Linked DNA regions of Neodiprion lecontei. The protein of the gene in region 1 interacts with the protein of each later gene in a pairwise test. Links are inferred from orthologs where the notes say so. Each region holds a gene or a part of one and is shown on either strand. Other genes may lie near its edges.

Region 1 (9,687 bases):
CACGCGAATAGTAATGGTATGCTGATCCATCATAGACAGTAAGAAAAAATATTCCTGAATGCCATCCTTGGTACATACTTCACTGTAAGAATTAATGGACGGAATATCGTTAAAAGTGTAAGACTCAGAAGACGGGACTGACAGGGCTCAGTATTTAACAATAATATATTGAGTATTTTTTGTAGAAAAATTGTCTTACCATTACATATTATTATAATAACTGTCTATTTGTACGTAAGGAAAATTGGCGTCTAGTTTAAAAATATCTGTGCAAAATACGTGATTTTCATTTATATTAACTTATAAGTTGCAAACTCGATCAGACGTACATAGATATTATTGTAGTGATTAGGCTTTGTATATATCTTTTGTATTTATTATTTTTTATGTTATTATAGTATGTGTCGTAGTTGACAGGTGTTTTAAAATAAATTAATAATAACATTAATAATCATGGATCACCATTGCGTTTATTGCACAGGATGATTATTCTTATTCTTTGACACCTTTTCCATTTCCATGGGTACACAACGATATATGTTTATTAAGCATCAGGGTGTCTAATTACTTACTATCCAGTTTCTAAAAAAAGGTGTTAAGGTGAACATAACAGCAAATTTAATTTTTTTCAAGTATACTGATAACGTTACATACACCAGAGGCACTGAAAATGGTGCCTCAGAAAAACGAAAGTGAAACAAATACGAAAATCATCTGAATAAGTAAAGAGAAATAACAGTCTTCACTCAATTAATTATTCCCAACCGTCATTGTCTTATAAATTAAAGAATAAAAAAATATTATTCAAACATCTGCTTGGAAGTGAGGAAAAACAACGTTGATGCGTGCAAATGTGCACAATTGAAATGCTGTATTTTGCAAACTCCGGCATTCTCTGGCGCATGCGGACTAGAATAATTCAATTTAACGCACTGCGTCATTGAACGTAAGTTACTGGTTTTATATTGCTCCATGTTATTAGGTATGTACAATTTCCTAAATAGCCAGTGCTTAACCACGGTCTAACCCTAGCTTACGCTCGAAATATTCCGAAGTTGTACCAAGTTCCAACACGTGCCGATTCGTAACAAGTCTGATCATCAATTCGTTTTCCGAATTCGCACATGCGTGACAGTAAATTCTATTCTAAACACAAGAGTTTGTTGGGACATGACAACGCAGCGGTGACAATAGTCATCAGGAACAGAATAAGAAGGCTGGCAATTCCCCCCAAGATTCATACCTGATGATGCTACTTTAAGCTCCGTCTGTAACTCTGTAATTGTACCTTCAATCCGGTATTCATCCTTCTGGAGCTACAATCGCATTGGTGCATTTTCGCATAACACTGTTGTGATTGCTTAAAACTTTCTGTACATGGAGATTCAACCGTGCGATGAAGACTTTATAGTCAATGCCATTTACGTCAATGCGATGTGATTCTCAATTAGCCGTTTCGTATCTGATCGTCATTTCGTTTTTACTCCAGTGCGAGTTACTTTTCACGCGAACCAATAAAAGAACAACGATGCTGGAAGACGAGAATAAATCGTCCGAGGATAGAAATCCAAATGAAAGTGCAACCCAACCTCAAAATACACAGACGTCAGCTGTCAAAGAGAGATCCGAATATTTTGAGAAATTGGAAAAATGGCTGCAGGAGGCGTACGTCTGTCAGAGTGTAGCGGCAATGTTTCCTTACTACGTAATGTCAACGCAAATGTTGAACCCTACCACTGGTATGAATTAGAAATCAAATATCGGCTTCAACTTTTCGTCCGCTTGCTAGTTTTAAATTGCATATAATGATTGTTGCTAGCTAGTCTCAACTGTTCAATTTCAGTTTGTTGAATTTAAGTTCAGATAATTGAAAACATTCGTGGATCTATGTTTATTTGCATCAGGTGTCAATCCATTCCAGCAAGTACCAAGCAACGCTGGTTTTGCAACAGCGTCAAATGTACAAGCCAATGCTGACGTAAACAGTCCTGAAACTAACGAAGGTCTCAGACTAAGGAGACCTCCAGATACTGCCGGAATACCACGACCGCCTGGAGCCGAAGGTAGAAGGTCATAAAAATAACTCCTGTGTTCTTCAATTATTAACACAGGTTCAGCCTGCATTTGATTTCATTACAGAACAAAACTCCTGCATCAGGTCAGACTAAGTCATCCGCTGGGAGGAAGAAGGTGTTGTTTCGGTAACTAGAAATTGGTTTTATAAAAATTGATCTTGAAACATCATCTTTTTCAAATTGAAGCTGAAACAACATGTTTTTCACGGCAAAGCTGAAACAACATCTTTTTCACAGCAAAGCCTAAACAACACCTTTTTTATGATAAAGCCGAAACAACACCTTCTTCCTCCCAGCCGATGAAATGTGGTACAAATGTTTGGCTACAAATTTTATTGATCATGCTGGTCTACCGAGATGAATTTTTCTCACATATTCTGCCTGTATACAATATTTGTAGAAATAGTCTGCAGACATTTATAAATTCATTCCTCTCCGCTTAGTAACAAAGATGTTCAGCTAAACTTCCTGTGAATTTACAATTTTCTTCCATAAAATCTGTTTTTTTTAACTACCATTTCTCCATCTGATTCATCTAAATCATCTTTGTTTTCTATTCAAATATTGCTGCAAAAAGCTAATTTCTATATTTCACTGTTCTTCAAATAGGTCCAATATCGATTATGATAAACTAGTTATCGGTGGAAAAGGATATCTAATACATTTTATTAAAAATTCATTGCTTCAATTACCAACATATTTAATTTCTTTGAAATTTTAATAAAAAATGACACATCAATTTCATAAGATTTAAAGAGAAGAAAATGAGAAATGTTCATGAAAATGTAATCTACAAGTCTGTTTACGATTCTGATACATTGTAAAAAGTGATTAAGATGCAGTAATTTTGAGACATCTATCATGCATGTCATACTCATTCCGTTGGTTTGACGGTATTTGTTAAAAGGAACAATAAATCTTCACTTGCAGGTTTTGAATATCGTATACCGCCACTTTGGAAACGATTTTTTGCAGAGTTCATTGACTTCATGGTACTATTCTTTCTTAAACTTTCCATTACATTTATTGCCGTCGACTTTTTCGATTTTATGTAAGTCACAACTATAAACACTAGGGCTTCGGAGTAGTTATGCTTCTCAGGAGCCCTCAGAATACTCAGAATTTCAAATTTCAATCAGCAAACAATTGTTCCTTGATTTTTTCAGAGACATAGAACGATACGATTTAGACATGATACAGAAAAATCTTCGTATTGATTACGAAATGGCTCTAGAAATGACATCTGGAATACTGATCTTGGAGTTAATTCATCGCATCATTGTGTGCATTTTCGAGGTAACTATCTCTTCGTACTTTTCATTTCTCTGTCAGCAAATTAAATATTACAACTGTACAGTCGGCCCTTCTTATGTTATAACTAAAATAGTTTGAGACGATCTCAGCGATCAGACAATTTGAAATGAAACATGCTTCCTTTTTAAAGGTCCATTATTTATAGACGTATCTAAAAGAATCAGTAGCATCTGCAAAATAGGGTATCAGCTTCTTAGAAACTGGGGGGTTCGTAATAACGAAAGAAGAAAAATACCAGCGCAATTTTTAATGTTGATAACCTTGTAGGCACTCTGGCTTCAGCATGGTATAAATGGCTGCATAGGTGGAGCTACACCAGGTAAAATTGTAATGGGATTGCGTGTGGTACAGTGTCGAAATGTAACGCCCATAGAAAGACCTGATGGTTCTGATTTAGTATTCATCACCCCTGGTACAGATCTAGGATTTCCATTATCTCTTGGTCGATCGATAGTCAAGAATTTGATCTTAGCATTTCTGTTTCCTATTTCCTTTGCCCTGTTTTTCTTCAGGTTCAACAGAACTGGTTACGATCTTGTTTGTAACTCAATTGTGATCGAATGTCCTTATAGAGATAGAGCAAATAACAGAGCTCGGCAACAGCAACAGTAATCGATCGTGACTACTCAAAGTTTGATTAATTCTATGGCAGGATATAAATAATGGAAGCTGAAATATTCTGCTGTAGAAAACTGTTTATAATACTTAAATGCTTTGTTTAATTATTTTTTTCTCTAGTACCTTGTCAATGCGTACTATCTAGCCAAGGTTCACACCTGCATATTGCATATATGTAAATATGTAATAAAATTTATAATTAAGCTATTATATAAATTACCATACACCATGTTGTGCATAAACCTACAAAATGAATGTATTCATTTCATTGTGACCAAATGAACCATCGTTACTGATTGAGTAAAAAGTGTAATAAAAGGAATTTATTTTGCTATACTACTTTAACTCATTGCGAATATCTGTATTTTGTACTATTGACATTGAATTTTAAACTACCACATAATGTAAACATCTTACTTTTATGTATGTGATAAAATTATAAAGCGGGAAATTATATTTCTATGTACATACATATATTCGTTAGTACATATACACGTTCAGTCAACTTTGTTCATTCAAATTTGTGAATTAAAATTCATGATTTTTTCAAAGTTTCAAGTTTTTCTTTCTGTTTTGAATATTGGGAATCCCGCATAGAATAAGAAAGTGTATAGGCTAAGACTGAAGCTGTAATATATTATGTTGTAAAAATGAATAAGAATTCCTGTATAATGCATTTACAGAATTGTAATTTGAACCGCTGGATCAGATAAAAACACCCTGGATACGGTAATAATGACGGTGTTCTACATTTACCAATTTGCTTATGGGGGGGCTTACAATATTAATTGATTATGATTCGGTAACAGACAAAAATTTCTGTATCAAAACTCGCCTCATCGTTAGCGTCCTCCACTAGACGTAAGTTCACCGGACTTGAAAATGACCAATCATTTAGAAATCTTTGGTCCCACCCGCGGTTGTATGCACGTATGTACATACATGGGTTGTACGTACCACGCGATAATGCGAGCGATAGGTGATTCGGTCGGCAAGGGTAGGACTGTTACATTCTCCTTTCACATTTTGACACATGGGATCTTTATACATCGTCATCTAGCGGCGAGTAACGAAATCGTCGGACTTTGGCATGATGGAGAAACGAAGCGTTAACACAGTGGCGTGACGTCACTTCCCAGTCAAACGTGGCTGCCGTGCCGAAAGGAGTGGCTGTTGAATCTGTCAAATTATATGGTTATTTGGAAATATTAATGACTTTTCCCATCGGCTACGGCGCGATATAGTGAGATTTGATTATTGCGTGTCAAGCAAAGTGAAACGAAGCCTCAAAATATGTCGTCTTCGGGTGATTTCGGTAACCCGCTGCGAAAATTCAAGCTCGTTTTTCTTGGTGAACAGAGCGGTGAGCATTTTGACACATATTTCAATGAATTTAAATTTAGTTTCCCTTAAGTTCTCTACTTTTTTCTTATCCACCACTCCGTTGGAGACTGAACTTTCGACATCTATACTACGCATGAATTTTCAATAACGTTCTAGGTTATAAATCGATATTTTCCCCTGTCCGTCTGCCGTAGCTGACGTGAGTCTCAAATCCGATTCGGTACTTGCAATAATACTTCGCATCGCTGTTATATATCGTTATTTATCGGACAAATAAATAATACAGCTTATTGTACCGATATCACTGGATCAAATTATATCGGTGATTGCTTTTTTTTCTGTTTTGCTGTAAATGAAAATTTACATTAATACTAGCAATCGATTTTTTTTGTTTCATCTTCTTTTTTGTTACGAATAAGAATTGAATGCTTAAATATGAAATGACCTTTTATCTGGAATCTCTAGCATTTATCTATTATAAATATTGGTATAGTAAACTGGCAGCAAAAATAAACTAAGATTAACTATCAAGTATAAGCTACTCTATTTGTACGAATGACTAATTGTAAGAGAAACAAAAAAAAAAGTAGCATTTTTCATATCCTATATTAATATTATTGAACTACTTAAATCTTCTAAAGTGATTGAATACTAGTGAAAAGTTACCAGAAAATTTTGCCAAAAAATTAAGAAATTATAAGAATACTGTTTTTTATATGCATGGAAAAAATTGCTTTATTAAGACATGGTTAATAATATTTGACTTTTCATAATAATGGTCATGTGTATTAGTTCACATTAAAGTACGTATTTACATATTAATACAGTTCCTGGGAGATGAAATTTACAGATTAATGAACAGTTATTCTGAACTTGCCTGAGCCACAATAAGCATAATGTGATTCTCCATGAACAGTTACTTGCTTACTCAATGGAAAAACAAAAACACAATTCTGCCATGTAGTTACCGGCTTTTTATGCCCCGCTCAATTGAAATTCACGCCATCAACATACAATGAATTAATAGTCTAATTTATCTAGTTTTTAGTGTATGATGCATGATGAATAACTATTTTTCAATAATCCATAATTTCATCAGATTAGGGAGAAAGATGTGAGTTTACTTTGAAAAATGAAGTGAATACACATTGAACTCATGTCGATCTATTGTCTCAAAAAATGAACACATTTAAGCAAGCTAAAATCAGCCTTTCTGACATCCAGAAGTGTTATTTGACTATTAAAAATAACGATTTTTTAACACAATGACCTAGGTGTCAAAATATTCTGAGTTTATTTATACAAATTCTCAGTGTCTTTAATTATTATTGAGATTAGTAATTTCTGACGCATGGACAGGGGAAATTCCCATAAATTTTTGGCAAAAATAATTCAATTTTATTCAGAAAAAATTGCAGAGTAGAAATACTATTGCCCTGTTTTAAAAATAACTCTGTTAGACAAACGTCATCAAAATATCTTCATCAATAATGAAAAACGGTGAAATATGAAATGATATACAATCAGTGAATTTTGTATAAACGGAATAATTTGTTCACATCTTTGTAATTATCGGCAATTATTGTAGTATCAGGGGATGTACCTCAGCATGTTTGATCCTTAGATCATGACTGATCTTCCTTGTGATTTGTTAAAAGTTGATTTTTTCAGAAAAATGATCACAGCATTATGAAACAGTCTTCTCAATATTTCGATGTTAACAAATACAGTTCAACTTGTTTTTGCTATTGATCTTGAATTAATTAACTGCGAGTTATTTAACACGCCAGAAATTTTTCATTCGGCCGGGCTACGCATTAGTATTAATTACAGACTACGTCAACTATTTCTTAGTATCATATATAAAATGATCAGAATTTTATTTCGTGTTATTTTTATTGAATAATTTGATCTTTTTGCAGTTGGTAAAACCTCCCTCATCACAAGGTTTATGTATGATAGCTTTGACAACACGTATCAGGTGCGTATTAAGATGTTTATAATTATAATTATAGTTGGAGCCATCTCTGTAATTTTTCTTTTCATTTGGCCACTATACAGTCCCGCTGCGAAAATTGATTACAAATTTTATTCAGTACTCGTAACTACTTTTACTTACTTGTAAAAGTATAAGACACTATTTATATCACTAGTTTAGAATACACATAAATAATAGATGGACAGGAAGCGATTAATTTGCATAGAAGCACTAAACGAGATTCAACCGATTTGTCGAGTTCATGTTAGTGTTTTCACTTTGCGTTTTTATTGAACGAGTAGGCCATGTACAGGATGATATTACATTATTCTTCTCACCTCAAGTTTTACATTATCATTACCTTGTTATTTAAATACAAATACCGATATCTGTTTACGTTTCAAGTTGAATAGTAAATATTTTGAAGAGTAAATTATTTACATAGATGATCAAACTCGTATCACCAGAGAGTTTCCCAGTAGTAGCTTTTTAATTGAATTTAATGATATGAGCAAAATTTACTGCTAATTGAACTGTTCGCACGTTGGTTTTTCACTCGGTATAGTTATTCGAAGACTATTCATCATTGTCCCATTAATCTTGACCTAGGAGAGACATCAGTATTATGTCATAGATGTGAAACACATTGGAAGAACCACATAACAGGTGTCTGAGGCCAATGTCAGCTGAAGTGGTAGTAGAAAGGACTAGACATTGACTTTTTCTAATAGTAATGTTCGAGGATAGGCTTTGACAAGTAAATTCAACCATGATTGATTACAGAAGTATTGAAATGTAATATTTGAATGTATATGTGATCAATTTTGATTAATCATTTGATGACTCGGTTTTCTCTATCACAGTATCAAACGATTTTATTTCTTTTCGAGAGTTAAACACCAGCACTTGTCCAGAGCTATATTTATCAATCGATGATAATTATCTCTTGAGTCTATCAATTCACAATTAGCATACATTTCAAGTCCCAAAAAATTTCCATGCCTAGGGTTATTTGATCGAAAGCTAGATATCGATCACTATTCAACACGAAGATAAGGTGTTATTTTAAATACTTGGAATTTTGTAGATTTTACTTCTTATGTTAGCTGACATTTCAATATCGTGTGACTTTATTTTCGGTGCTAGTTTTTGAAATTTTCTAATTCCTGGTAATGAACGAAACATTTATCTGCATTTTCGTCATAGTTGTTATTTCAGTACACAGTGTTGCAATTCTTGAACGGCACCTTAATAATTTCTGCAGTATTAGAATTTATTAATGAAATGTTATAGTATGGATTCAAGATGCATTTTTTCTTGAAATATTCAGCTTTATTCAGTTCAAAACTCGATTGCATTTCAAACGATCAATTGACATTGGCGCTGTATTTAAATATTGGTTCAAGCTGTTGCTAAAATTGTAAATATCTGCATCAAGTTTTAGAGTTTGTTTTTTTCAGCCTACCATTCCTTATAACGTCAATGTACTGAAAATTGTTTATAACTGCGATTCAATAACATTTAAATTTATTTCATTTTATTTATAAATTTTACGAATACAAGGTCCTTTTACATATGAATTCAAAAAGCAAAACAGCGTAGGTAGTCCAGCTGATGAATGTATAACGATTATTGGTAATTTTATTTTTATATTCGTTCGAACATTTCTTCCATTTCAAATCTAGTCTTTCGTTTTAACTTGCCATTTCTGTTTTGACTGAGTAAAATGACAAGAATATATAAAAAGAATAAGAAAATTTATTATAATTATTCAACAGCTTAGAAATAACTAAATTTTGGAATTCAATGGTCGAATAGTTCTCTAGTTATTTAAATAATGATGTTAAAAAAAAAACATGTATCTCACTTGTTAATATTTTATGGGCTCGAAATGCATCAAAGCAGGAATTTCCTAGGCTGGTCTATCAAAGTCAGCCAAATTGACCACTTGTTTTTTTTTTTACATTCTGTACGCTGTCTACATATGCATTTCTGAAATATAGCGATTGAATTTCGTTTTCACTTGATGTTATTCCATGTCTGTTACATTTGAAAATACCAATACCATTCGTAATCATTGCTCTACACCTTATTTCATAAACTTTTTTTGTTTGTTGCAGGCGACGATAGGAATTGATTTTTTGAGTAAAACTATGTATCTTGAAGATCGAACAGTTAGACTGCAGCTGTGGGACACCGCCGGACAGGAGCGATTCCGTTCCCTCATTCCTAGTTATATTAGAGACTCGACTGTTGCTGTGGTGGTGTATGACATCACTAGTAAGTTGATAGAAGATAAAATCTTCTTAAAAATCCAAAAATAAGAAATACCGGAGTTTTAAACAGAGGCTTAGGTAT
Region 2 (12,801 bases), on another chromosome or scaffold:
TATATATATATAAAAATATATATATACACACACATATATATATAATATACTTTTGCTGCCCAATAATAATTTTTGCAATTACCGATTTACTATAATTATTACTATTTATTTATTATTATTAGAATTTTTTTTTTTTTTTTTTCGACACCAACTTAAGAACGCGGCAAGCGTGCTGCAAGCAAATATTGACAGAGTGAAGCGCAAATATTTCGCGATAAGATTTCTTTTTAGGTAATTTAACAATTTCTCTGATCATTGTTGCATGAAATGATATAGAAATGTCTTGACGTGTTCGTTCTACCTCATTTGTCATATCCGACATGTACTTTTCTGTAAAAGATTACTCATGAGGTTTTACGTTTACTTGAATTTTCTTTCTATTTTTTTTTCTTTTTCTAAAATCTTAAAATCCAATGAGGATTTTGAAGCAACGGACTATTTCACAATTTTGATACTTTTAAGAAAACAAGAAAACTGAAATAGCGTACTTAAACTAGCTTCTCAGAACAATTCTTTCAATTTTATCACATATGTAATATATGACTTTTGTCACAGATTATATTGTTCTTTGATTTCTTCGGAAATTTGCAGTAAAATGTCGCCCAGATATGAAATAACAATGGTTCGATTGAAAAATTAGCCATTAGTCCGTCATTTGTTGAAGATAATTTTTATCTTATGCAGAAAAGCACATGATAGGATTATTGCGTAACACGATGTTGTCAAGGACCTTATTCTATGGGGGGTGGGGGAACTTACAGAAGATGAACACTAAGACGCTCTCTGACAGTGAAATTTCCTTATGTAAATGGGGATTGCGGCCGATAAGCGATATTGTAGAGTCTCGTAAAATCCTCATCCTTGCCTCGCTCGAACAACAATTAGTAAAATTTACCACATTTTGTACTTGATTTAAATTTTAAGTAAGCTATTTTCCAGTATTGATAAGATTTTTAAATAAGTTTCTTGAAAATTACTACTATTATTATTATTATCTACAAGTTTTTTTTTTCTTATTTATACATACATATTTTTCGTAACTCGTTGAATAATGCGAAGAAATTTGCTTGGTGACTATTAGCCGTTGCTTGTATGACTGTGATTTAGAAAAGCAGAACTATAAAGGATAAACCGCTGGGCGGCTATAATAGCTAGCAGTTTCCTCGCTCAATAATTTATCTCCCTGAACATATTCGTTATCCTCTTTTTTTCTCCATTTCGTCAAAGGAAGAGAGGAAGAATATCAAAGAATTACATTCATAGAAATGCTATGATGTTTGATAAAGAAAGATAGGAAGAAAAAAACTCGACAACTTACGACGAACAGCGAGCCTTACCAACATCCAAATTATACCCTCCCCTAAATACTTTTTATATTATTATTTGTGTTATTGTATTTTTACCACGATATAATTATTAATTACTTATTACTATTATTATTATTATTATTATTATTATTATCATCATCATCATTATTATCATTATCATTATTATTACTGTCGTCGTCGTCATTCTTATATTTCTTATTGTTTAATTTTGAAATATTTCTAAAATTGTTAAATATAATACACTATATCAATCAAGTATAATGTTATCGAAATATGAATTAGATAAAATGAATACCACACGTACAAGTGATAATGTCTATCTATTAATCAATATATCCATGCGGTAAATTCTTCTTTTTTCTTTTCTTTTTTTTCAATAAAAATACCTTTGATGTATGATGTAAATCTTTACTACTCAACGTTGTGATTATATACAAATGTGACACATACATAACGAAGACGATGAGGATATTTTGAAACTGATCTTTCAAACTACTTGAGGTGATTCCGTGTACCTTGAGATAACTGGAACGAAACTTTGAACGTGAATATCAAAGGTCTGCTTCAAACGACCCTCTCTGTATGTATGCGTGTATAATTTGTAAAGTATGCACTGATATATACATGTACGAAATGACGAGTATGATAAACATATATTTGACATTTTATAATAGCCACTATCTGGCAGAAGCTTGAAACTCTTTATCGACAGCGGTGGTCATGTTTGGTTCATTTACAATTTTCAATTACACCCAAAGTATGCGTGTGCAGATAAGTAGCCGTAAATGATTGCGACACACGCTATGCTTTAAGGTAATAAAACAAGCATCGGTGGTGCTTGGTAGACTTTAAAGCCTACCTGAGACTTCACCAGCCGATTAGTACACGCTAGACCAAATTTATAAAGTGACTGTACAATAATTTCGAAGTGCACATTTTGACGATGTATTATAAAATTTGTTCGTTATAACATTTTAATTAATTAAATTTAGTTAGATGAATCCGGAACACTGTATTGCATATTTGCAAATAGGTTATGCTTTTTTAGTACAGTTTCCAATGTTCTATAAAGTATGTGTTTCATAATACTTGAAAGTTTGCTAAAAGTCATTTAATTCTCCGTCGCGCACATCGTTGTATTAACAGATAACAGAAAACAGTATTTAAGGGTATTTTTGGTTAAGATAAATTAAAGACAGGTGCAATGATCACACGAATATCAATTAGCTGGTTGAAACTTCGGTTAATGTCTATAATGTATTACAATTCGATTCGCTTTCCTTGTAGCTAAAGTCGAGATCTGGTGCATGGATTCCCCAAAGTAGCGAGAACGATCCTTTCTGACAATTTATAAGATTACCAAAAAATGAAATGAACAAATATTGAATATTGTGTGAACATTTTGACGACAGCCGCAGTACGAGGTAACGATTATTAATGCAATCATATTACCGCGTGGCTATATGGATGCTTACATCAACATTAGAAATTTAAGTGGTTTAACGGTAAAAACTTTTCGATGCTTAGAAATTCACAGTCATGCCTTATAGACCAAACATCGTAATAATTGAAATGCATTTCTGTTGTGGGAAAAGGAACTTCCTCATTGAGAATAAATGAAACCAAATGATATTTTCTTCAAATTGCTATACGTAACAATTTATTGTCGACAACTAATTGAATACTCAGTGATTCAATTGCTTTTGGGAACAGCCATACGGTGTATGAAGTTTTGTTAATTTTAATCAAGATACTCTGAAACGATAATTAGGAAGTAAATTTCTGTTTCAATTTTTTGAGGAAAAACATTGGATGTATTATTTTTTTTGAAAAGCATAAATTTTTAAGGGTATTACATACTTTAATGTGTATATAATACGATGTATAAATCATACTGTTATATGACTGTAATAATAATTGAGATATATAATAATAATAATAATAATGGTAATAGTAATAATAATAATGTTAATTACGATACCAAGACGTAACAATTATTTGAAAATAAAATTAAGTGACAGGGAAAAATACATAAATTAAATTGAATATTTGCTAGAGAAATTGGATAATTGATATTCGGGTGAATGTCGCGTTAAAAGAGATGCGTGAATCGAATTATTTAATGTCTAAAATAGGAAATTGCGTGTGACAGAATAAATAAGATGTTGAAATCTGTGTTGACAATCGCCGACATATTGAGCTTACATTAATAACTGAACGATATTGTAGAGACACAATATGCCTTCGAAGTGTTGAAAATAAATTTTCTACTTTTTATTCGTAAGTACATTTTTACGAAATCAGTTAAATGTTAATATTTAGTATCGATCGTTCGGTGGGTACATTTTTAACGTGTTCACGTATATTTCGACGAATTTTTGTATTGTACTTACGATTGAAAATCTAAATTTTGTATTCCCATTTTGGGAAGAGGTTGATTATAACTGTTGATTTTCAAGTAATTTTCAAGCTTCTACTTCGAGCTTGATTTGTCAGGTGAATGTAGCTTACTTGTATATATGGTACATATACAACAAAACCCAGTCCGCTGTTAGTTACAACATATTATTAATCTTTTAGTATAAATATGAATATCTTTGTTAAGATAAAAATCGACCGCGTAAACTTCCGTAATGTTGTATCATTTTGATGCTATTATAAATCGCATTAGAGAACGTAAATTATATACAAATAGAGGTACGTGTTATATTATATTATCGAGAATGTGATCGAAGCGAGAGATGTTTATTATTTCATGTTGTTCGATAAAGAGAATTGGTAACAATTTGCACAATCCTGCATGAGCTGCAGTCTTTCTCCACTAGCCTTTCCTGTACATAAAACGATAAATATTTGATTGTGCGATATGACGATACGTATAATCATAATCAATAAACTGTAACGATATTATAGACTCAAGTATATGAATCATTTAAATAATATACACACATGCATATATAATATATATATATATATATATATATATTACATATATATATATATTAATAATTTTATTGTAAATGTGTTACATAATGTGTACTTCGTACATCCCGAGTACTTGCAGTAGGCATTAGATAGAAAATATTGCTTGAGGATATTTTTTCAATGCCAACAATGTGATCACTTCATGTAGAGAAAGCGATATAATAAATTTCATGTAGAATTAATAGTTTGAACGTGTCTTTTGAGTCTTTTCGTATCCACTTCTTAACAAGACCAGAAACTACATGAAATCTAAGAATTTATCGCTAAATCAAGTTTCTTTTTACTGTCTCGTACAATTTGATAGTCCTTTGGATATCTCTCATCAAACACATTACATAGAATATTTTCGTATCGTTTTATAAATAATTTAAATGCTATATCTAATGTTCTAGTCGATTAACTATTTATAGTGGATAAAGGGAATGTTTTTTCTCACTCGTACGATGAGTGAAGAATGAATAATTGCGAAATTTTTCACCTTTTACCCCAGGCAGATTGTCCAGGCCAAGGTAGTCGCAGAGAGAAATAATCCTGCTCGAAACGTGACACCCTGATGATTTTGCTCCGATTACTTTCAAGAAACGAATATAATGACGAATGTAGCACCATTTAATCGATATATCTGAAGAGGAAGCACGGGTTACACATATCAATACTGGTAATTTTAACGCAATGAAAATCAACTGGAATTGATATCAACTTACTCATCAATGTCGTTTGAGGTGACGAATTTTCTCCACCTCTTCCGGAGTGAAGTGAAGAATTGTAGAAATAGCATTCAACATATGCCGCTTACTGGATGCATCATTAGTCAGGAGGTAATTGAGTACGACATTCTTCAAGTACTCGAGATTTGCACCTTCTCTGGATTTGTAGGCTTTCAATCTACATGCATACGTGGAAAAAGTTGAGTTGAAAACATTTTTTTAATGCTAGTTATTATAATATTTCTCTTCTAGTTCCCTAGCGTACCTTGTAACTTCATTTTCTAGTCTCTTCAATTCCTCCCTGTGTCTTTCAGTAGCTTTTATATATTCTCTGTGTTTCTCTCTAATATCTGCTTCCATTTTCATATTGCTTTTTCGTAATCCTGAAACCTGGACTTCTCGCCGCGCCAATTCTTGAGCGTAATGGAGCATAGGTGGACTGTCGGCTGTCAGCAAGCCTGTAACGAGATCAACTGCTGGCTCGGAAATATTGTCCGGAGTTGGAGATTTGGAGCGGTCTTCCTGATCTCCAGAAGAAGCTTTCTTTGGCAGTAACGCGTGAAATGACGACTTTAAGGTTTGAATTTCTTGGTCCTTTTCCTGAATTAATACTAATGTTCGTTCCCTTTGACGTTGAAGCTGATGTTCCAAAGTTGAAATCTTCCCTCGGAATTCATTCTCTTTCAGAGATAGCGATCGTTCACTTTTCAATCGTTCTTCTCTGAGTAGCTGCAATACATCGACTGCGGTTATTACTGTTAAAACTTGAGTGACAAATTTGTTTTTGCCCACATATTCTGTATTTTTATTACCTGTTGCTGATTTTCTAATTGAGATTTGCATTCTTTTTCTTTGTTAATTATATCTGCATGCGATCTGCGCAATCTTTCTTCCAAATTTTTAACCTGCAATTTAGCAGCATTCAACTGCAGTTTGTAATTGCCACTTTCATTTGATTCAGAAGCAGTAATTTTGTCCCGTTCTTTATTCAGTGAGGAATCAGGTATCGCATGACGAAGCTGGGCCGATGTTTTCAATTTAAAATCTTCGAATTCTTGCTCTAGCTTTTCAAACTTTTCTTTGTACTCTAGATCCTCGTTAACATCGCGTAGATTTAATTTACCTAAAAGATCTGACATTTTTGTTCATAAACTCTGAGTAGAACTTGCACGATTGAGCTAACTATTAAAATAGACCTGGAGGATACGTTACTTTTGATATCAGACGACTTGTCCTGATTAGCCAGGTCCGACATACGAGCATAGAGCTTCTTTATTTTAGCTGCAATTTCTTCTGGATCATTTTCAAACCTTCCTGTTTCTTTATCTTTACATCCAGCCCCCTGCAAGTTGGCCAATTGGTCCTTTAGCTTTTGAATAGCTTGCTGATCCTGATGCCTCAGTCTATCGTATCCTCCGACTGTTTCCGATAATTCTGCTAATCGAGCCTCCAACCCTGCGACTCTGGATTCATGCGTCATTGCTAGAATTCTTGCCTGTTGTTCTGCGGCAGAGGCTCTTTTTTGTTCCTATATACAATGAGATATTATACAATCGGTCGTTCATTGGAAGTAACAATTTTATGAACTCTGTGCTATTGTTACCTCTTGAATTGCATTGCGATGTTGTTGTTTTAAACTCGCCATTTCAGATTGTAAAGAAAGTAGCAGTGGAGGAGTTTCTTTTGCAGCTGCCTCTGCTTGTTTCAATTTATTCCTAGCAATTTCTAACTCCGCCTCTAGCAACTTACTTTGCTCTTTACTCGCGACGTTGATCTTTAGATCTCTAACTTGGTTTTCCAACTGTTCTTTGGCGCATCTTTCGTCGTTGAGCAGTCTTTGCAGTTCCCTACAAATTGATAATATAATCCACATTATTACCTTAACAATTTCATTGTGAAGTTTGAAAAAAATTTGCTGTAATAACAAGTTGGTCAAGGCAAAAAATATTCGATTAGTTAATCTGCATGCAAGCCAATGTACCAACAATGGTCGAAAGCAATCTTCATACAAGTGAGGTATATGTACTTAATCATTGCAGAATGATCAGCTTGCTCCTTTTCCCGTTCATGCCGTTCCATGATCAGTTTATACTTAACATGTTCAACCTCGGAGCGTGTCTCTTTTTGTGCCTGTTTTAATTTTTCTCTCAACTCTCTGATAACTTTTTCATACTGGAAAATATTTCACATAATCAAATCAAAAGATGTTTCAAAATATCAATTTAGACAAATATTGCTGTTTTTAAAATTTAATTGCACTCACTTCTTCTCTTTCCGTACGCAGCTGTTTTTTATCAGACTGAAAATTCGCCTCCATTTTTGATTTTTCTGCCGAAAGAGTTGCTAGTGAATTCATCAGGGCACTAAGCTGAGTTTTTAACTGCTCCACCGTCTCTGGTTGGCTTGCTTCTTTTTTAGAATTGGGCACCTGAAAGTATAAAGTTTGTCAAAAAAGTATTCAACGAACATTTACTGCATCCCATATACAACTATGGATTGATAATATGAATACGCAATCGCTTGTAAGTATAGTAATGCGATTCATCTTCAAGTACCGGTTCAGTGCCAGTTTTCAAATCCGACGGTTTATCATGTTTATCAACGTCAGCCTTAGTTTTAAGGATAAAAGCTTTGAGGCTTTCTTCTAGGGCTTCTTTTTCCTTTATTAGACTTTCGTACGCCGGCACGATATCTGAAATAATATACAAATTAGATGTACATCGTCGCGTGTCCGGTTACCCGAGCGTTTCAAATGTTGCGCGCCATTTTTTATTCCGCTGCACTCAGCTATTACCAACCTCTCAAACGGTTTTCATACTTGGTTAGCTTTTGCCTCTGCTTGTCTACGATTTCCCAGAGCTCCTTCTTGCTAGTTTTTTCCATTTTATTAATCACCTTCTGGACTTACAGGTTGAATACAACGTATGCTTGCAATATTCATAGGTGATTGAGCTTATAAATCAATTCAGAAATGAAACGGAGATGTTAAATAGGATAGCGTATGACAGCTGGCGATTGCAATCATATTCACGAGCACACGTGCTTCCAGTATTGCCAACGTTATAATTTCGTGCTCTTTCTCGCACTGATTAGTGACACCATCTTTGATTTATTTTAGAACAGATGAATGGTCGCAAGGCAGGAATTAGGCGTGGGCTTAAAGCAGAATTTTTAGAATTTATTTTATTTCCAGACTCAAGCGCACGACGTCTTTAAATCACTGAGATACTCTAACAGGTGATTCAATCTCCAGGGTGACTGGTCCATCATTCTCGATTAGAACTTGCATCATTGCGCCAAATTTCCCATCTGAAAAATGTATTGTAGGTATGGTTGTAGTACACTTATAAATTGTGAAGAGGGTGAAGAGTATTTACATACCTTTTATCAACTCGGGTTTGTACTGTTTGCCAAGTTCAAGGAGAAAATTGTTGTAAAATGGTTCCGATTCCGTAGCTGGCATTGCTCTGTGAAAATCCAGTTTATTCCCCTTCAATTGATGGTACAAGGTGAACTGGCTGACACATAGAATTTCATAATTTTTATCCACAACGTTTGTAGACCATCTTTTCTCATTTTCGTCCTCGAAGATTTTAGTGTTAAGAATCTTGCGGATTCTGTTTTAAAATCGAATATATTCAAAGGTCCCATCAGGTTCTTAGCAATTTATGAAAATATGTGAAAGATACATTAAATTATTGAGGCGAGTTAAATTACATGTATTCCATATCTGCCGCATTGTCGTCTTTTTTTAGTCCTATTAAAACGCAGAGTCCCCGTCCGATGCAACTGATGATTTCACCATTAACTCGAGAAGAAAAAAATTTGAAGAAATCGTTTAATCACCCAAATATTTGTCTGACAGTAGTGTTGGTGCATATTGATTCGAAGCTAGAGTGCAATAAATATTTATTTGGAAATTCAAAATTTATCGCGAATACTGTAATCAAATCAGCTACTGTGTAACCTAACGCAATCAAGTACTCTCACCTGATACACTAGCTTGTGTAACTCGTTGAATTACGGCTTTCATCCTGCATGAACGAATCGGTCAATTCAAGTTTTATAAAAATTCTGAATGATTGTTTGGGGACAAGTCGAGTGTCTTTTGTTCCTACGAGATTTGAGGAGAGCTGATAACGTACGAAGTTTTTCTGTCACTGATGAATCAGGATGGCGTCTATCCGGTTACGCGAGGTTGGCGGGAGCGCGACGCAACTAGTACGTAATTTGATATTTCCGGTGCGTGTAATATGCTATAGAGTGGTGTTTGACTTTTCAAAGATTGTTTACAAGCGTTTTCCCCCGTTAACGTTCAATCGAATTTAGTCAAATCCATTATCAATATCAAGGCAGGGTCGGTGGCAACAGTTTCATAAACATCCCGGAATGTATTTCTGAACAACATTCAACCCCGTTGTGTTAAATGCGACTAGTTATCGATGACACACTTGTTGCACGTAGGTTATGGCCCTATAAACAAAGGTACTTTATTCACAAATCAATGATATAACATAGTTGTTCGGCGTTAAGCAGGCTTCGGGATGGAAGGGCCTGGTATAAGTTTGTTTCAAGGATCCGATAGCATCCAGTTGAACACAACCGCCCAGCGCCAAGAGGAGGATGAAGAACAAGAAGACATCAAGCGCCGGAATGAGGAGGTGAATGTTAACTCTCTTCTTGGTAAACAAACCCAAACCCCTCCGTTTCTTGCACTATAAACCCTTTTCGTAATTTTTTCAAGATCAAAAACATTTTGACAAATGCTTTTGACGACCTCGACAACGACGACGACGAAGCCAGCTCAGTCAACAGCAGTAGATGCTACAATGACGTTACCAGAGACACAGAACGGAGTCATGCAGGAGGGTTAGTTTTTGAAACTACGCGCTCTGAGAGTGGTCCGACGGTTTCTCAAATACAACGAGAATTCGGGGTGTACGGACGCGTCGACGCCAGTAATGATTGCAATGATCAACCCCAGTCCAATTTCGAACACCAAAATGCAGATCGTGGCCCTACTATTTCAGACATACAGAGAGAATACGGGGTGTATGGGCAACCGGAAACACCGTATAGTAAGAATACTGCAAATAATATGGTCAATTCGTTGGACAGTCCTTATGAATTGCCCAAACCATCGAATCCTGGGTATCCTCACAATATCAGAGCTCAGCTTAGCGAGGGGTATACTTTTCCTGAGAGTTATCCAGCTAATTACAAAACTCCAACCAGTCGCTTTGGAACAGCGACTGAAAATTATCGCGACAACGGGTATATCGACAATTACGAAAAAAATGGCCCGTATAAAGCTATTCAGGAATTTGGCGGAGGAGATAGCGAAGTCACTTCAGATCATTTTCAGCATTGCTTTCAAACCAGTCCAAATGGCGGTCCTGTCGATGAGAATACAGCCTATAAGACCGCAGAGTATAATAGTAATGAACAATTGCAAGTATTGTATTCTGTTAGAATGCGAGAAATTCAAAGGTTAACGGAAGAATTGCAACAGTTGCAAGAGGAACGAAAAGAAGAGACAAGTCAGCTCAGTAGAAAGCTTGCTCTTGCTCAAGCTGAAGTGGAAAGATCTAACCTGTCGAGAAATCAGGCACAGAATTTACTTGGTAAATATTTTACATTGATGTGAGCAAAAATTTGTCAAACTTTTTTACAATTGTTTTGATTTTTCCAGTGGACGCTAAAGTGGAAATAGGTGATCTCCAGGCAAAATTAGCAGCTTTGAAAGAAAACGTTGCTGTATTGGAAAAGACTAAGCAAAATGTGAGGCATAATAAAGATCAGAGAGTTTTGTGTTATTTCGTTCCATAAGAATAATAATAATAATTTCTATTACCCACTTCAACAGATGGGTGAAGAGCTCAGCATTTCCAAAAATTCGGTGGCCGATCTTCAACAAAAAATAGCGGTCCTAGAAAGAGTACAAATGTTGCAGACAACTGATAAAACTCATGAAAAATTTTTGAAACAAGCTCAAGAAAAACACACCATAGAGATGAAGAACATGCAGATACAGATAGATGCTCTTACAGATAAATTAAATGCTAAGGTATTCACTTGAACTAATGAACCTTTTACATAATTTCATAGTATAAAATAACACGAGATCTTTTGTAATTTTTGATGAAGCTGCTAATCATGGATTCTAGCAGCAGCGACATTTGGGCAAGTGTCTGATCTTCTGCATAGAAGTTTGCGTTTGCTTCCTTGAAAAAATTATTTCATTTAAATTTGCTCCAGAGTAATACTGATTTGTGTAATATCTCCTGATTACATCGATCAAGAAAAATTGATATTAAAATGTGAAAATTTACTGGTTGTTTTAAAATAATTAGGAAACATCTTATGTCGCTCTGGAACACAAGTTAGCTGATGTAAGGAGGGCGCATGAAACATTAATGGTAGATAAAGGAGATACGATGAATCGTCTGTCGCGTGCGCTAGAGGAAAGTCAGGCTCAATGTCGTCATCTGATGGCCAGTCACAATGTGCAGGAAGTTACGAAGTTGGAAACTCAGCTTAGAATTGTGACGGAGGAGAAGGACGAGCTTGTTAAAACTGTACACGAACTGCAGGTAAGGATTGTCGTCTAAGCATCTTTCTTTCCGTGAATACTTGACAAGAGTTCATTTACTTCTAGCGGAAATTGGATTTAGCCAAGAGCGATATTACACAATATGACTCACTGCTGGCAACTACGTGTGAAGAGGAATCCGACTCTATGAGGCAACTAAAGTTGGGCGAACTTCACAATAGATCTAAGAGTAAACCAGCTGATGATATTACCAATAAACTGCGAGGAGAATTGCAGCGGTATTTCTAATTCGTCTTTCGATGATTACTCAATACCAGAATGAAGATCTTTTAATTAAAATGCTGTTTTTATTATAGATGCTTGGCAGGACAAGCAGTTAAGAGGAAAGAGATAAATCGTCTAGAAAATACTCTTGCCCAAAAAGAAAGAGAGGTCGAACAAGCTTCATCCTTGGCTCAAACATGTCAAGAAGAAGCAGCGAGATATGCAAGGCGGGTCAACGAGTTGGAAATGGAATTGAAATCTCTTTTGACGGACAAAGCTATGAAAGCAAACGCGGAGATACAAAAGCTTTCTGATCACTTGAATGATACAAAAAAACTTTGTGATAACCTGCAGACAGAAAAAAATGAACTCGAGCGTAAACTACAGCAGGCTTTAGTTAAAAATGAGGAAAATTTAAGACGTGTGCATCAGGAAATATTGGCAGAGCAAGAGAAAGAAGCTGTGGGAGAATACAACAAAGAGTATTTAGAAATTCACGAAAAGGCTGTACAAAGAGTCAGGCAGGAAGCGCAAGTTGAAATAGTTCAGTTATCGTAAGTATCATAACCCAAAACAAGAACATTGCATGATGACCATAGTTTATTTGAACATCTTTAGAATCAATTGTTATAAAAATTTACCATGTTTCACAGAGTGCAATTGGAACAGACCCAAAAAGAACTAGATCGAGTTAAAGAATTATACGTAGATGTTTGTGGTACAAAAGAGCAACTGATAGCACAGCATCAGGAAGAAATTGCGGAATTAAAAGTAACGTATGCAGACTTTGAGACACATAAGGCAATGGCGGACAAGATGAATCGTGACTTAGAAACTCAGGCATCCGTTATAAAGAGGCTAACTAAAGAGTGTGAGCTTTATAGGAGTAAAACTGTAGAACTGGAAAAAGATTTGAGTCATGAAAGGCAGAGAAGAGAAGAACATGCAAAAAGAATACATGTTG

What was found.
Region 2: the proteins of ras-related protein Rab6 (region 1) and GRIP and coiled-coil domain-containing protein 1 interact in a two-hybrid assay, tested with the Drosophila melanogaster proteins (2 studies listed by BioGRID). The link is inferred for Neodiprion lecontei from reciprocal best matches to the Drosophila melanogaster genes Rab6 and GCC88.

Annotation. Positions count from the first base shown.
Region 1 is NC_060263.1:23,057,938-23,067,624, reverse strand, and holds the start of ras-related protein Rab6, read left to right. Parts: upstream 1-5,125; 5' UTR 5,126-5,300; coding exon 5,301-5,370; intron 5,371-7,273; coding exon 7,274-7,332; intron 7,333-9,449; coding exon 9,450-9,609; intron 9,610-9,687. Other genes in the region: protein FAM8A1, read left to right, coding at 1,125-1,220, 1,490-1,739, 1,905-2,063, 3,006-3,126, 3,242-3,371, 3,657-4,001. UniProt on the Drosophila melanogaster protein: Protein transport. Regulator of membrane traffic from the Golgi apparatus towards the endoplasmic reticulum (ER). Mediates membrane trafficking during egg chamber growth and organization, possibly upstream of exocyst component Sec5.
Region 2 is NC_060266.1:25,189,387-25,202,187, forward strand, and holds GRIP and coiled-coil domain-containing protein 1, read right to left. Parts: upstream 8,100-12,801; 5' UTR 7,904-8,099; coding exon 7,819-7,903; intron 7,713-7,818; coding exon 7,576-7,712; intron 7,449-7,575; coding exon 7,284-7,448; intron 7,193-7,283; coding exon 7,002-7,192; intron 6,868-7,001; coding exon 6,624-6,867; intron 6,549-6,623; coding exon 6,233-6,548; intron 6,153-6,232; coding exon 5,833-6,152; intron 5,750-5,832; coding exon 5,286-5,749; intron 5,199-5,285; coding exon 5,021-5,198; 3' UTR 5,018-5,020; intron 4,936-5,017; 3' UTR 1,711-4,935; downstream 1-1,710. Other genes in the region: D-aminoacyl-tRNA deacylase 1, read right to left, coding at 8,238-8,329, 8,402-8,637, 8,738-8,828, 9,011-9,053; centrosomal protein of 152 kDa-like, read left to right, coding at 9,184-9,241, 9,557-9,681, 9,765-10,644, 10,713-10,801, 10,887-11,087, 11,374-11,613, 11,679-11,851, 11,930-12,391 and 1 more.